Coturnix japonica: one gene and its partners. The protein of the gene in region 3 purifies or fractionates together with the protein of the main gene of each other region. This does not show direct contact. Links are inferred from orthologs where the notes say so. Each region holds a gene or a part of one and is shown on either strand. Other genes may lie near its edges.

Region 1 (3,187 bases), on a different chromosome or scaffold from region 3:
GCCTGGAAGAGCCTCAAAGTCCAGTGTGGTCCTACTGTCTCCACAGCAATGTAGGATATATAATTTAAAACTACAGTGTTTGCACAAATAAAAAGGAGTGTACTTAATAGTAATATACACCAGTGGGAGCAGCATTATTTAGCTCGGCTGTATGCAGAATGGAGTCACTCAGCAAGTGCCTCCTACAGGTTTGCTTGCAAGAAGGGTGGTGAGAAAGAACTGTCAGCTCCAGGAAATGAAAAGAGCTCCAGTTAAACAGAAGGATGCTATTGCTTTAGGAGAACTTCACACTATTTTTTTTTAACGTTATGGACTAGTGAAGACAGCCTGGACCCTCAGGGTCCGGAAAGTAACAAAACCAATTCAGAAGTATCAGATATGCAGCTCAATGTCCTCTTGTTAATATGATATGGACATGCACCCCAGCTCCCACCATTCTCAGCTGGTGTGGTGGATAGGTGGGGAGAAAGGCCCCCAGCCCCACCTTCAGTTATCACTGCAGTTTTCCCTCCATAGGAGAGGGGAAAAAGTATATCAAATACCCTATTTTCAATACTGTGTATGTTGCTAGAGGTTACAATCTTCTCTAAACTCAGGCATTCTGAATAATTTCTTATGCCACCTTCTCGACTATTAGTTTAAATCTGCACACAACACATACTCCTTCCCAGAATGAGATTGTATGTCTCTAATGACTAACAAGGAGCTGCTTACTAATTCTAGCTTTAATTTAAACAGAGTTGCCTTTTAGATGAGAACAGTTTCACATACAGAGAGGGAACAAAACAAAACCAACTGGATAATGGCACTTTATGCAGCAAATGTGATTGTTTACTACTAAACATATCCAAGATTTTATCCAGGATTTACAGAACCTTTTCCTAAGACAACCTCTCTTTTCCTTAACTCAGATACTTACTTTCTGCTTCATGAGCATTTAGCAAGGACACTGGCATAGTACCCTGCCTGATGTCCCAGATACTCAGCATCCCATCCTGACCCCCTGTGGCCACAATGTGTTGCTGATTGGGGTGTCTGTCCACACAGTGCAGTGGAACTCTGTCACCAGTCCTGTAAAGGAGAAGAAGAAAAATAAATGTGTAAATTATATCTTCATGCAATTTACACTTTCTCTTTTTTACACTCCATAAGCATTGACCGACAGGGCAACTGTGTCAACTGCAGCCACATGACACCTACTGGAGTGAAGACCTATAGCAGTAACAGGCTGCTATGACTGGAGGGCAGCAGGTTCTGTGTGCTTGGGCACAAGGCACCTACACAACATGCAACAGCTTTGCAAGGATGAGAAAGCCTTGTGTACAAATATTTCAAGTATGCCTACAAGGAGGTAATTCTGATATTCAAGTTATAATTACAGTTGCAACATACGCAGCCAGCTACAGATGGAGACCTGAGTTAAAGAGGGAGATAAGGCGCTAACCAGGTACCAAACCCTAAGCCTATTAACAGCAATGGGAACTATTCCATAAACAACAGGATTTGAATCCAGCTTTGTTTTCTCACAATACCTTAAAAGGCATAAAGTTATCCTTCAGAAACATTTCAAATGGCAGCAATTTTTTATAGGCCTTTTGGAAAAAAACAGATGTATAATTAATCAGCTAAACAGGAAGAAGTGCTTTGCTTTGCTCTTAAAGAATGAACATGCAGATACAATAGTCCTTCAGAGTTAAATCACAAAGCAGACCATTACAGCGTTCAGTCACAGCAGTAATTAAGCAGACTCTGTTTTTGGTACTGAAATACCAAAGCAGTAGAAATATTCCGGGGGGAAAAAAAAAGGTTATTTATCATCCCATAGCCAAGAATGAGGCGGTAACAGGAGAGACTTAAATCAGATATGAAGTAGCATGTGCTTCTCAGTAAGTAGACAAAAATTAAGGTCTTACAAAGAAAATATCTGAGCTGGCTCATTTCTTTGTTGTCTGAAGTCCCATATTTTCAACTGTCCAATTGAATTTACCGTCAAGATCTCAGTCGTGCGAAGGAAAGTCACAGCATGGAGCGTACTGCTATCTGCATTGTCTGCAAGAGAGGTTAGCAAAGCATTAAACTACAAGTTCAGGTAAACCTACAGAACACTTAACTCCATTTAATGAACACTAAACAGCTCTTCTAAAACCAGACTACATTCTCAGGGTCAGAGATGGCCCAGCGTTATGTGAAATTTTAAGTGTTGCAAGAATAACCTTGCTTCCTATAGAAATATTATCTAGACAAACCTGTAAGAAGCTGTGTTTGATTAGATCCAGTTCTTACTGACTCACTTGCTAATCCGTAAGTTTTCTTTCTGGAGTACCTAAGAATAATCAATTAAGCCGAGCCTGTGACTTTCCTGAGAGTTCTCTTTACAAGCTCTCAATCCACAAATACAAGAAAGGCTGCGGAGTTTTTAAGAATGCTCTTCTCCTTTCTGTTTCTCCTACAAGAAGCTGTAATTCTTGCTGAGAACACAGAACAGTGGAACACAGAAGCACTTATTTCAGCAATCGGTGTTTAAAATACTTTCTTCAGGCACTTTCCAAGAGCAGTCATCAATATCATATTCATCCTTAAAGACAAACAGAAACAATGCTTTGTCTGTTAATCTGAACAAATGAGAAAGCCATTTTCCAGGTCTTTTTCTACAGTGCTCCTTCTGATCACAGTTTTCTACAAGTGCCAAGAACAGGTCACAGAACTGACTTGAAACAAGAGGCTTTAGGAGAGACTAAAACAAGCACTGCATCCATATAGAATCACTCTGTGTTATGTAACTCTTTAATCTTGATTATGATGGGGTAACATAAATCTATTTCCACTCCAGCTATTTAAAAACTAAACTAACCCCATCCCAGGCAACTTTAAAGCATCTTCCAACATTTCCTCTTCTCTCCCATTCCAACTTTTAGTCTTAAACCACCTCTAATCAATGAGCTTCTGCTAGTCCTTTCCACTTAAGTCCAAGTAAGATCAACTCACCAAGTCACACATTTGACTGAATTATTTATGGTTCATTTATATTTTATTATTTCTGTTTCCAAAAGGATATTTCTCAGTTAATTCACATCTGATTTATTTTATGCATATGTTCCTGCTGAGCTCAGCACCTCAGTGCAGTCTCAGTTTATGTTACCAGTACAAAGTAATCATTTTTACATAATACCACCAATGAGCACTAAGA
Region 2 (4,279 bases), on a different chromosome or scaffold from region 3:
CAGGATGTCCTATAAAGGACACTCTGTTCACTCTTCCACTTCCTCTACACGTGCATAGGAGTTTGACTCCCACTTTACTCATGTGAAGACCTGTGGACTTTACCTATTCCCACATCTGCCCGTGTAATATGTGTTAGCTGCTGATTTCTTTCTGCCATCTCTCAGTCACTTCATTTGACTTACACTCTTAACTCTGGTATTTTCTTCCTTGAACAGAATCTATCTCCTATCTTTCACATACTGCTGAATTATGGGTGCTTTCGCCTGAAACCCCCATCTTTAGATTTCTAACTTCATAGAATCATAGAATCATAGAATCACCAAGGTTGGAAAAGACTTAAAAGATCTTCCAGTCCAACCATTCACCTATTACCAATAGCTCCCCCTAAACCATGTCCCTCAACACAACATCCAGTTGTTCCTTGAACACCCCCAGGGTCGGTGACTCCACCACCTCCCTGGGCAGCCCATTCCAGTGCCTCACCACCTGTAGAACACAGTATTTTACACATACAAGAACACTTCCAGGCAGTTTGCCAAACGTTTGCAAACTGTTTCTGATCATTAAGCTTTGGAGACTCAAAGCTAATAAACCTACTTAATGACTGGATTTGCTGGATTGTTTTTCCCCTGAATCAAATTGCTCTATAATACTCGTACTACTGTATCAAATCAAAGTACTTCCATTTCCAGAGTGCCTTTATCCATGAAGCAGTTGATATTCCAGCAGTTGCTTTGAGTATCTCCACCAATGTTAATAGAGTCATGCTGAACTTCCAGCTGAAGTTAATGAAGTTACGCAGGTTTATTCAGTCAACTTGAGCACAACGTCAGCATACAGTGTCAAAAGTGGAAAACTATCCTTATTAGAGATATTTTTTCTTTCTTCTATGCTGTGGTTCAATTTAATGTAATCTACAGATAATAATGAATCCAAACATTCAAAAATAAGTATCAGTATTGCCCCGATTCAGCATGCCACTCCTCTGTATGTGATCTAGCAAATAACAAAGTGGAAATACCACTGAGTTTTCTGCCTCAGACATCACCATGAATTGAATGTTCATTCATTCAGGTCTTCAGCTCAGCTCAGCCTGAGGTTAGATATTGCAGTCCAAATTTATGGCTCAGTGACTGGAAACTGCAAATGATCTGATGTTTCTCCAAGTCCAAGCACGCATCCCATTATCTCGCTACATGGCACAAAGTGGTTGCACTCAGTAACCGAGGGCGCTTATGTCCTCCTGACCATTGCCAATGTACTGAGCAGCGCGGCGTGCATTTGTGCGCTGCCACTCCCACCCCCTGGATGCTGTAGGAACAAGGCGGGGAGCTCCATCTGCACAGCACCCCCTGCCAGCGGCATCCAGTCACGGCGGCACGGCACTTAGTGCTGATTTACACGTGCCTTACCCAGAGCCGAAGGAGGCAGCCCTCCCTGCGTCCCCGCACGAAGCTCCGCCTCCTGGCTGCGGGCGGGCGTGGCGGAGCAGGCGCAGCGCAGTGAGCGTGGCGGCCGGGCGGCGCCGCGATGTTTGTGGCGCGCAGCATCGCGGCGGATCATCGGGACCTCATCCACGATGTCTCCTTCGACTTCCACGGGCGGCGCATGGCCACCTGCTCCAGCGACCAGAGCGTCAAGGTGGGCGCGGCGCTGGGCGGGACGGGCGGTCGCACGCGGCCTGCGGGCGGCGCGGCCATGGCGGGCAGGGCCTGGGGCCGCGCTGCGGAGCCTGCACGAGTCCCGACCGCGGCCCCGGCGTGATGCGGGGCTGGGTTCGCATCATGCGGCATCGCGGTGCTGCAGGGGGACGGGCTGCTCCTTCGTGAGCCTCTGCTGGGCTGCAGGGAGCGGCTGCTGTGTGCCTGGAGCTCCTCCTGTCCTGCACTGACCTTGGTGCCTGCAGGGGCACTTGGAGGTGTTCAAGACCAGGTTGGACGGGGCCCTGGGCAACCTGATCTAGTAAAGGTGTATGTTTGGTGGCCCTGCCAGGCAGGGGGGTTGGAACTACATGATCCTTGAGGTCCCTTCCAACCCGGGTCATCCTGTGATTCTGTGACCACTGAAGTTAACTCTGGACGTTGTTTATCCAGTGACCTTGGACCAACAATTAAATTTAGTACCACTCCAGAATGGACTAAGTGCTTGTTCCTTCACACACCCATTTGGTTTTTTTGGGTCATTGGCTGGAAATTACCCAAGTATCACTTATCGGAAATGATCTGTTCTGTGCTGCTTTTCTGAGAACCATTTTGGATATTAGTAGATGAAGAACAAATTCTTCCCTGAGGTGACTTTATTCACAGATGCACTCCATACCAATGTTAGCTGCTAAGAAATGAAGCTGTAATGTACTTAAGCTCACCACGATGTGAGAGCTGGAGTACATGTAATTCCTGATTTAAGTTTTATAGCCCGTGGCCCAGAAAAGAGAAGGATGCTTTCCTCCCTCAAGAAGAGGATAGAATCTGGAAGGGCTGGGCACTCCTTTGGCATCTGCTAGGGAGAATAAAAAGGTGAATAAAATGGTGATCAGAATGAAATGAGTTTCATTGATTCTCTGTACATACAGTGGAACTTTACTATTTCAGCCTTTGGAGTACTGTATTCCTTGTTAGAATGAAATTAAAACTCCTCTTCATAAAAATGTTTGCCAGTTTTCCAACTGTACCATTGATTTCCTCCACTTACTCTGTGCAGTATTTTGGCGTACAGCAAAAGAAAACAATACTTTGAAAACTTGCATAGCAAAATACAAATCCTTACAGCAGCAGTGGCAGCAGAATCACAAGGGACCCGAGCAGGTTAGCAATTCAGATAAGGACATCTTAAGGGATCAGCCACAGATACACAGCAGTGGGATTCTGGTGGCCAATGTCTACTAAAAGGTGGTTGTGTATCAGAAATGGAATTAATGGGCGCTGTAATTATGCTTTGAAGACAAGCATGACACAGCTATGAGCAGAATAAATGATTATCCTAACACTGTGGTTTGGAGTTCAGTGTAGAAGAAATTCATGGCCAAGGAAGAAAGGAAAGATTAAGGTCTATGTAAGAGACGTTTCCTAGTGCAGAGATTTGTGCCAGTCTGCATGGCACTGGACTCCTATGGTGAAGCTCAAATGACTGTGGAATGCGAAAAGGAAATTGCAGCTGGCAGAAGTGCTGTCACGAGTGAATGGACACTGGTTAGCAGAAAGGGCAGCCAGCCAGGATGTCTGATGGGCAGAGACTTCAGACTGCTGTGGCTTTGTGAAGCAACCCTTCCAGCAACCTAAGCTGGGATGTGCAGTCAGCCACAAAACCTAATGTCTGTGAGTCAGCGCATGGGGTGCAGGGTATGGCTACAGGAAGAGGAGAACGGTCAGCTGCCAAGAGAGTGATGACTCCAAGTTATTGTTTATCTTGCTTGAAGAAGGGATCTTACTTGCTGGGGCTTGTATTTGTTAGTTGATCTTTTGTCCCTCTTTTCAGCCCTAACTACAGCGATATTTATCCAAATCATCGTTTGCAGGTAACAAAGTCAAACGTAGTGAGTGTCCAGAGTAGCTTGATGTCATTTCACCTTAAAAGATCATGAAATTACCATCTGAAACATTTTACCAGATCTGTTTGTGTTAGTTGAGCCTCTTGAAACTTCATTTAAATTTAAACCATGGGATTTTTGAAAAGAAAGTGTGTATACTGTCTATCTATAGAAACAGCCTACAGCTGACATAAAGGTTTCACACTGCAAGTTTATGGAGGCTTGAAACTGCTGGAAGGCCCCCAGTTTCTCGGCTTTAAAATGATATCCTCCACAGATTGCACAGGACTGCTACATGCTTTCACCACTTCTAACCTCACAGTTGTTATACCAGAGCATCACTTTTCATTACTTTATAGAGGTTAAAGAGGTGCTTAAACTGCAGTTTTGGGAACAGCATTATGTTGCCCAGCAAGTCTTGAATTCGTATTCTTTCCTAATTTCGTAATGATGTTATCATGATCTTCTAGCACACATTCTGTACCACGGTGGCTTATTGCAGGATTATATGTATTTTCATCTGCATTCAAGCTTATGTTCCACATTACAAAACTAAGGGCATTCTCTGAATTGCAGCCAAAAAGACCGAGGTGCACAACCACTGCTATTTGCTAGAATAAGTTCTTCTAAGAAGTGATGTTTTGGCAGAAGTTTGTACCGAGGAATACTGGTAAATGTTTCTGTTATGAATTTGTGTTCTCAATTTTGTGTTCCAGTTTGCCTTTGGGTTTCCCAGCATCTGAACACACCAA
Region 3 (4,328 bases):
ATAAAGGACTGCAAAACTGCCTTCAAGTCTACCCCAGCAGCAGCCCAATCCTTCCCTGCAGAATGCCAGCAAAATATTTTTATGTACACCATAAGCATTCTGGTTGCAGTTTAGCTCCCCCAGCTCATCTGTGCTCTCCCAGCCAGCACATAAAGCTTCCCCTCCCTCCAGTAGCAGACACACATTCCAGCACAGCCCAGCCGTGAAAGTGCCTGTGCTGGCTGATTAGCTCTGGAGCAAGTACAATGCAGCAAGCAGAGGCTTTTAGCAGTTTCTTGTTGACAAAGAGTCACATTACATTACCACTCAAGCAGCAGAACACCCGTTTTGGGTGCTGCCTCATCCCTTGGGGTACTCCCACTTGCCTGCCAGAGTTAGTTTGGAAAGCACCCAATGTCACCTGTTAAACTACACCTGCCCCGAACGCAAGCCTCACCTTGTAGGACCACATCCGAAGCTTGTGGTCCTGGCAGAGAGCAAAGAGAAAGGCATCGTGGTCCAGGCAGTGAACTGCAAGGCTGATGGGCACGTCTGATGGGCCACCGTCACCTCTGAAAGCACAGGTGTGTTAAAAGGAAGCCAAGGTTGGCACACAGGTCCAAGGCAGTAGATTTCTATCGTGATGTTTTACCCATTAAGATGAAGGACTGAGGTGGGAAAAGAAAGGCACCTGGCCCCAAGCAACGCACCCCTTGTGATCCAACTCAGGGTGCCGCAGGCTCACTCACATTTCCCAGGAAGGCTTTAACAGGGTTTGATCATGTGCTTAAGCTGCCATAAGACTACAGTCCCCAAACGAGCTGTTATCTACACGTAACCTCTGCTGGTCAGAAAGAAGCCTGACATTTTGGAACAAGGACAAGAACATACAACTGTTGTAATCCTTAATCTACCCTGGCTGCGAGCCACATCCTGGGTAAATCCTCAGAGGCCAATTACTGGATGTAACACACTCACAGACACCAACGCACAGAATCAGCAGGACCCCACTAAGATGAACTAATCCAGCCCTCAAGTCTCACTGTGACGGGGCCTGTGACCCAGTTAACATTGCAGAACACATCTGCAGGTGCTGATTTGCCCACGCTGGACTTCAACTAGAAACACCACCTCCTCCTATGCGAGGGAATCATAAAGCAAAGCGAGCTCCCTGTGTTTGTCCCCAAACACCAACCTGATTGCTGTTGGCATCCAACCGGTGAGAAAGCGCTGCACCACCGAGCTCTGCTTCAACTCCACAACCGAAACAACTCCTTGCAAAATAAAAGCAACACAGGGAAAACACAGTGAGGACTTAGTTAACAAAACACATGTTGCCAGAAAGGAGGCTGATGCAAAAGAGATGCTGTGTGTGCAGCAAGGCCGTAAGACACAAGTGACAAAAGCAAAACCCATCGAGGTCCAAAGCTGGAAGAGGGGATACAGTGCTCCACAGAAGCAGGTGTGAGGATGCAGCCTTACCAGGTATGTCATGAGGAGGCAGCTTAATAACAAAGATGCCTCCTGCTGCAGAGGGTAGAGCAAAAAGGGCCTCCCCATCACTGCTCAGCCAGGCTGCTGAGGCCAGTGAGTTGGCTGCCAAGCCTGGCACACTGGGAATCAGGTAGTAGCTGGATGGATCTCTGAAGTTGATTTTGCCAATGTCTGTAAAGACGGACTGCACTTGACTCTCTGCTATCAGATCCTGGAGGAGGTAAAGGGAGGAGAACAAGTCTCAAGCACATACACAAGCCATGGAGGAAATAACTCACCACCTACAGAGCAACACTGCTAAGTGACAGTCACTTTTTCAACCCACGATTGCTGCTTCCCAAAACATACAGGCTTTAAAATCTCATTTTCCAGCAGCATTTTCTCCCTTCTCACACTCAGTAATGCCTCCACAGGAGCCACTGACCACAGGGCCAGGCTTTAAATCCCTCATAAACTCCTCTATGCCACTCACCCCGCGATAGGCACGGGCTGGATGAGGCAGCAGGATGCGGTGCACGCTCTGCACAGTGACCAGCAGCAGCACCAGGTGGTTCTGCACCTCACACAGGTGTACACCGCCCGGCAGCAGCGGGCAGCCCTGGATGCGTAACCGCACAGCATTGTTCAGCAGCTCCGTGTCCAGAGATTCCTCCACCAGCTCAAGGATGTCCCCAGATGTTGTCCTGAGAGAAACAAGGAAGTGTGGGACAACAGGGGACACAAGGAGGGGCTGGGAGCAGGTAAAACCATCCCTGCCTGCCCCACCCCCACCCCCATAGCCTTCTCTATCCCTTCCTGCCCCAAATTCATTCCTTCTATAGCAAAACCCCTTCCTTCTGTCCCTGCCTTCTCCAACTCACATCCCTATCATCCCCCAAACCCATCCTCAACCCCCACAACCCCCACCTTCCATCCCTACCTGCCTCCAAACCCACCCCCACCACCCCACAGACCCTTGATCCACCCCCAGCCCCAAACCCATCCCCCCTCATTCCCTCCATCACTCCATTCCCACCCCAAAACCCAACACCCTCCCACTCCAGACAGCCCCTCCATGCCCCAAGCAGCCTCTCTATCACAGCCTCTCTATCTCTATGCCCCAAAGAGCCCCTCCATGACTCAACCCCCCCCCCAGGCCTTCATCCCGCCCCGTCCCCTCACAGCCCCGCCCGCCCTTACTCACCACCTCACGCAGCGGTTCCGCGTGGCCGCCCCCAACTGAGCGCACTCTCGGTAACAGAACCCCCCAGCGCTGTCCCCGTAACGCCCGGTGGGGACGGGGGCGGTACCCGGCGGGCTGAAGGACACCTCCCGGATCCGTCGGGGCGGGGCACGAGGAGCCGGGCCCAGCTCCATGTAGCTGCGCTCCGCCAGCCCCGCCGCCATCTTGTCAGCGCCTTCCCGCCCGCGCGGGGCAGCACGGGAAATGGCGGGCGGGGAGGAGGCGGGGCCACCTGCCGGGTGGGCGGGGCTAAGGGCGGGGTGGGCGGGGCTATGGGCGAGGCCACGCCCACTTGCGCCCAGGCCACGCCCCCTCCGGGCTCGCCCGCTGCTTCCTGCGGGCACGGCCGGGACGGGGCGGCGGCGGAGTGCTGAGAGTGAGTGAGAGCGGGGGGGGAGGGATCTATGGGGCTGGATGTGGGGCTGGGGTGTGTAGAGCTGTGGGGGGTTGGATATGGGGCTCACGGGGCCGTGTGACCGCTGGGGTCCCACAGCGGACCCACAGCTGAGGGTCTCCGTGGGGGCGGGGGGGGGGAGCCGGGGTTTGCTATGGGGCCTGTGGGGCGTGGGGTTCCCTGTGCTGTGGGTCCCTGTGGGGCTGGGGGTCGCTGGGGTCTGTGGGTCCTGGGGTTCCCAGCACTGTGGGTGCCTGTGGATCTGGGGACCGAGGGCTACAATGGGGCTACGGTTCCGTGGGGTGGGAGCCAGGGATCCCTATGGGGCATGGGGTCTGTGGGTCCCAATGGGGCTTAGGTCTGCGGGTTCCCAGTGCCGTGGGTCCCCGTGGGGCTGGGGACTGCGTGTCCGAGCGGGACAGCAGGCCATGGACCCTGGGGGTCACGATGGGGCAGGAAGCTGTGTGTGCCCATGGCGGGAGCGGGTTGTAGGATCCAGGAGGGGAGAGCGAGCGTTCGGGACCCCAAGCCCATGGCGTCACCCCAGCGCTGCTCCTCGGCCGCGGGGCCGCCGGAATCTTGGGAAAAAAAAGCAGGGAAATGGTGAAACTCCTGCCCTTATATGGCTCCGGCCGCCCTCCGACGGCCTTGGCTATTCGTTTCCCACGCGGGAATTCCCCGCTGCCTCAGTTTCCCCATCCGCTGGTCGCTGGAGGGGCCGGGCGTGGTGGGGGTGGGGGGCATCGGGCCGGTCTGGGGGCTGAGGTCGGGGTTAAATCCCTCGACGGAGGCTTTGGCAGCACCGGGAAGGGGAGGGGGGGGGGGGGCACCGTCGGCCCCGCGCCGTAATCCCGGAGCTGAGCGGATTATGGTGGCCGTGGGGCGAGCGGAGCTGCGGCTCGACGGACGCCCCAAGGCCGTGCCCTCCCGGGGGGCACCGATCCGAGGGCGGCGGTGGAACGCGGCCATGCGGCACGGGAGGAGTCGGAGGGAACCGGCCGGACCGGTTCGAGTCCCGTTTTGCGTCCGTTCCGGTGCCCGGGGGGAGGACCCCGCCGACGGCACGTGGACGTGGCTGAAGGTCACCGTCCAGTGTTTGTTATCACCATCGTTCCCATTGTTCCCTCTGTTTCAACCCTCTTCCCAGCCAGCGTTCGGGTTTGGGGTGGCACTGGAGGGCAATGGACTTGGTGACATGGAGTGGTGCCATATGGTGACATGGTGAGCATTGGCCATCAG

Evidence for each region.
Region 1: the proteins of NUP160 (region 3) and NUP43 purify together in Homo sapiens (affinity purification with mass spectrometry; 5 studies listed by BioGRID and IntAct, counting the BioPlex papers as one, with this or other methods). This does not show direct contact. The link is inferred for Coturnix japonica from reciprocal best matches to the Homo sapiens genes NUP160 and NUP43.
Region 2: the proteins of NUP160 (region 3) and SEH1L fractionate together in Homo sapiens (co-fractionation; 3 studies listed by BioGRID and IntAct, with this or other methods). This does not show direct contact. The link is inferred for Coturnix japonica from reciprocal best matches to the Homo sapiens genes NUP160 and SEH1L.

Annotation. Positions count from the first base shown.
Region 1 is NC_029518.1:43,392,268-43,395,454, forward strand, and holds part of NUP43 (nucleoporin Nup43), read right to left. Parts: intron 2,050-3,187; coding exon 1,914-2,049; intron 1,072-1,913; coding exon 920-1,071; intron 1-919. UniProt on the Homo sapiens protein: Component of the Nup107-160 subcomplex of the nuclear pore complex (NPC). The Nup107-160 subcomplex is required for the assembly of a functional NPC.
Region 2 is NC_029517.1:87,397,374-87,401,652, reverse strand, and holds the start of SEH1L (nucleoporin SEH1), read left to right. Parts: upstream 1-1,467; 5' UTR 1,468-1,531; coding exon 1,532-1,642; intron 1,643-4,279. UniProt on the Homo sapiens protein: Component of the Nup107-160 subcomplex of the nuclear pore complex (NPC). The Nup107-160 subcomplex is required for the assembly of a functional NPC.
Region 3 is NC_029520.1:523,906-528,233, reverse strand, and holds the start of NUP160 (nuclear pore complex protein Nup160), read right to left. Parts: upstream 2,905-4,328; 5' UTR 2,860-2,904; coding exon 2,657-2,859; intron 2,157-2,656; coding exon 1,946-2,156; intron 1,685-1,945; coding exon 1,462-1,684; intron 1,254-1,461; coding exon 1,175-1,253; intron 552-1,174; coding exon 437-551; intron 1-436. UniProt on the Homo sapiens protein: Functions as a component of the nuclear pore complex (NPC). Involved in poly(A)+ RNA transport.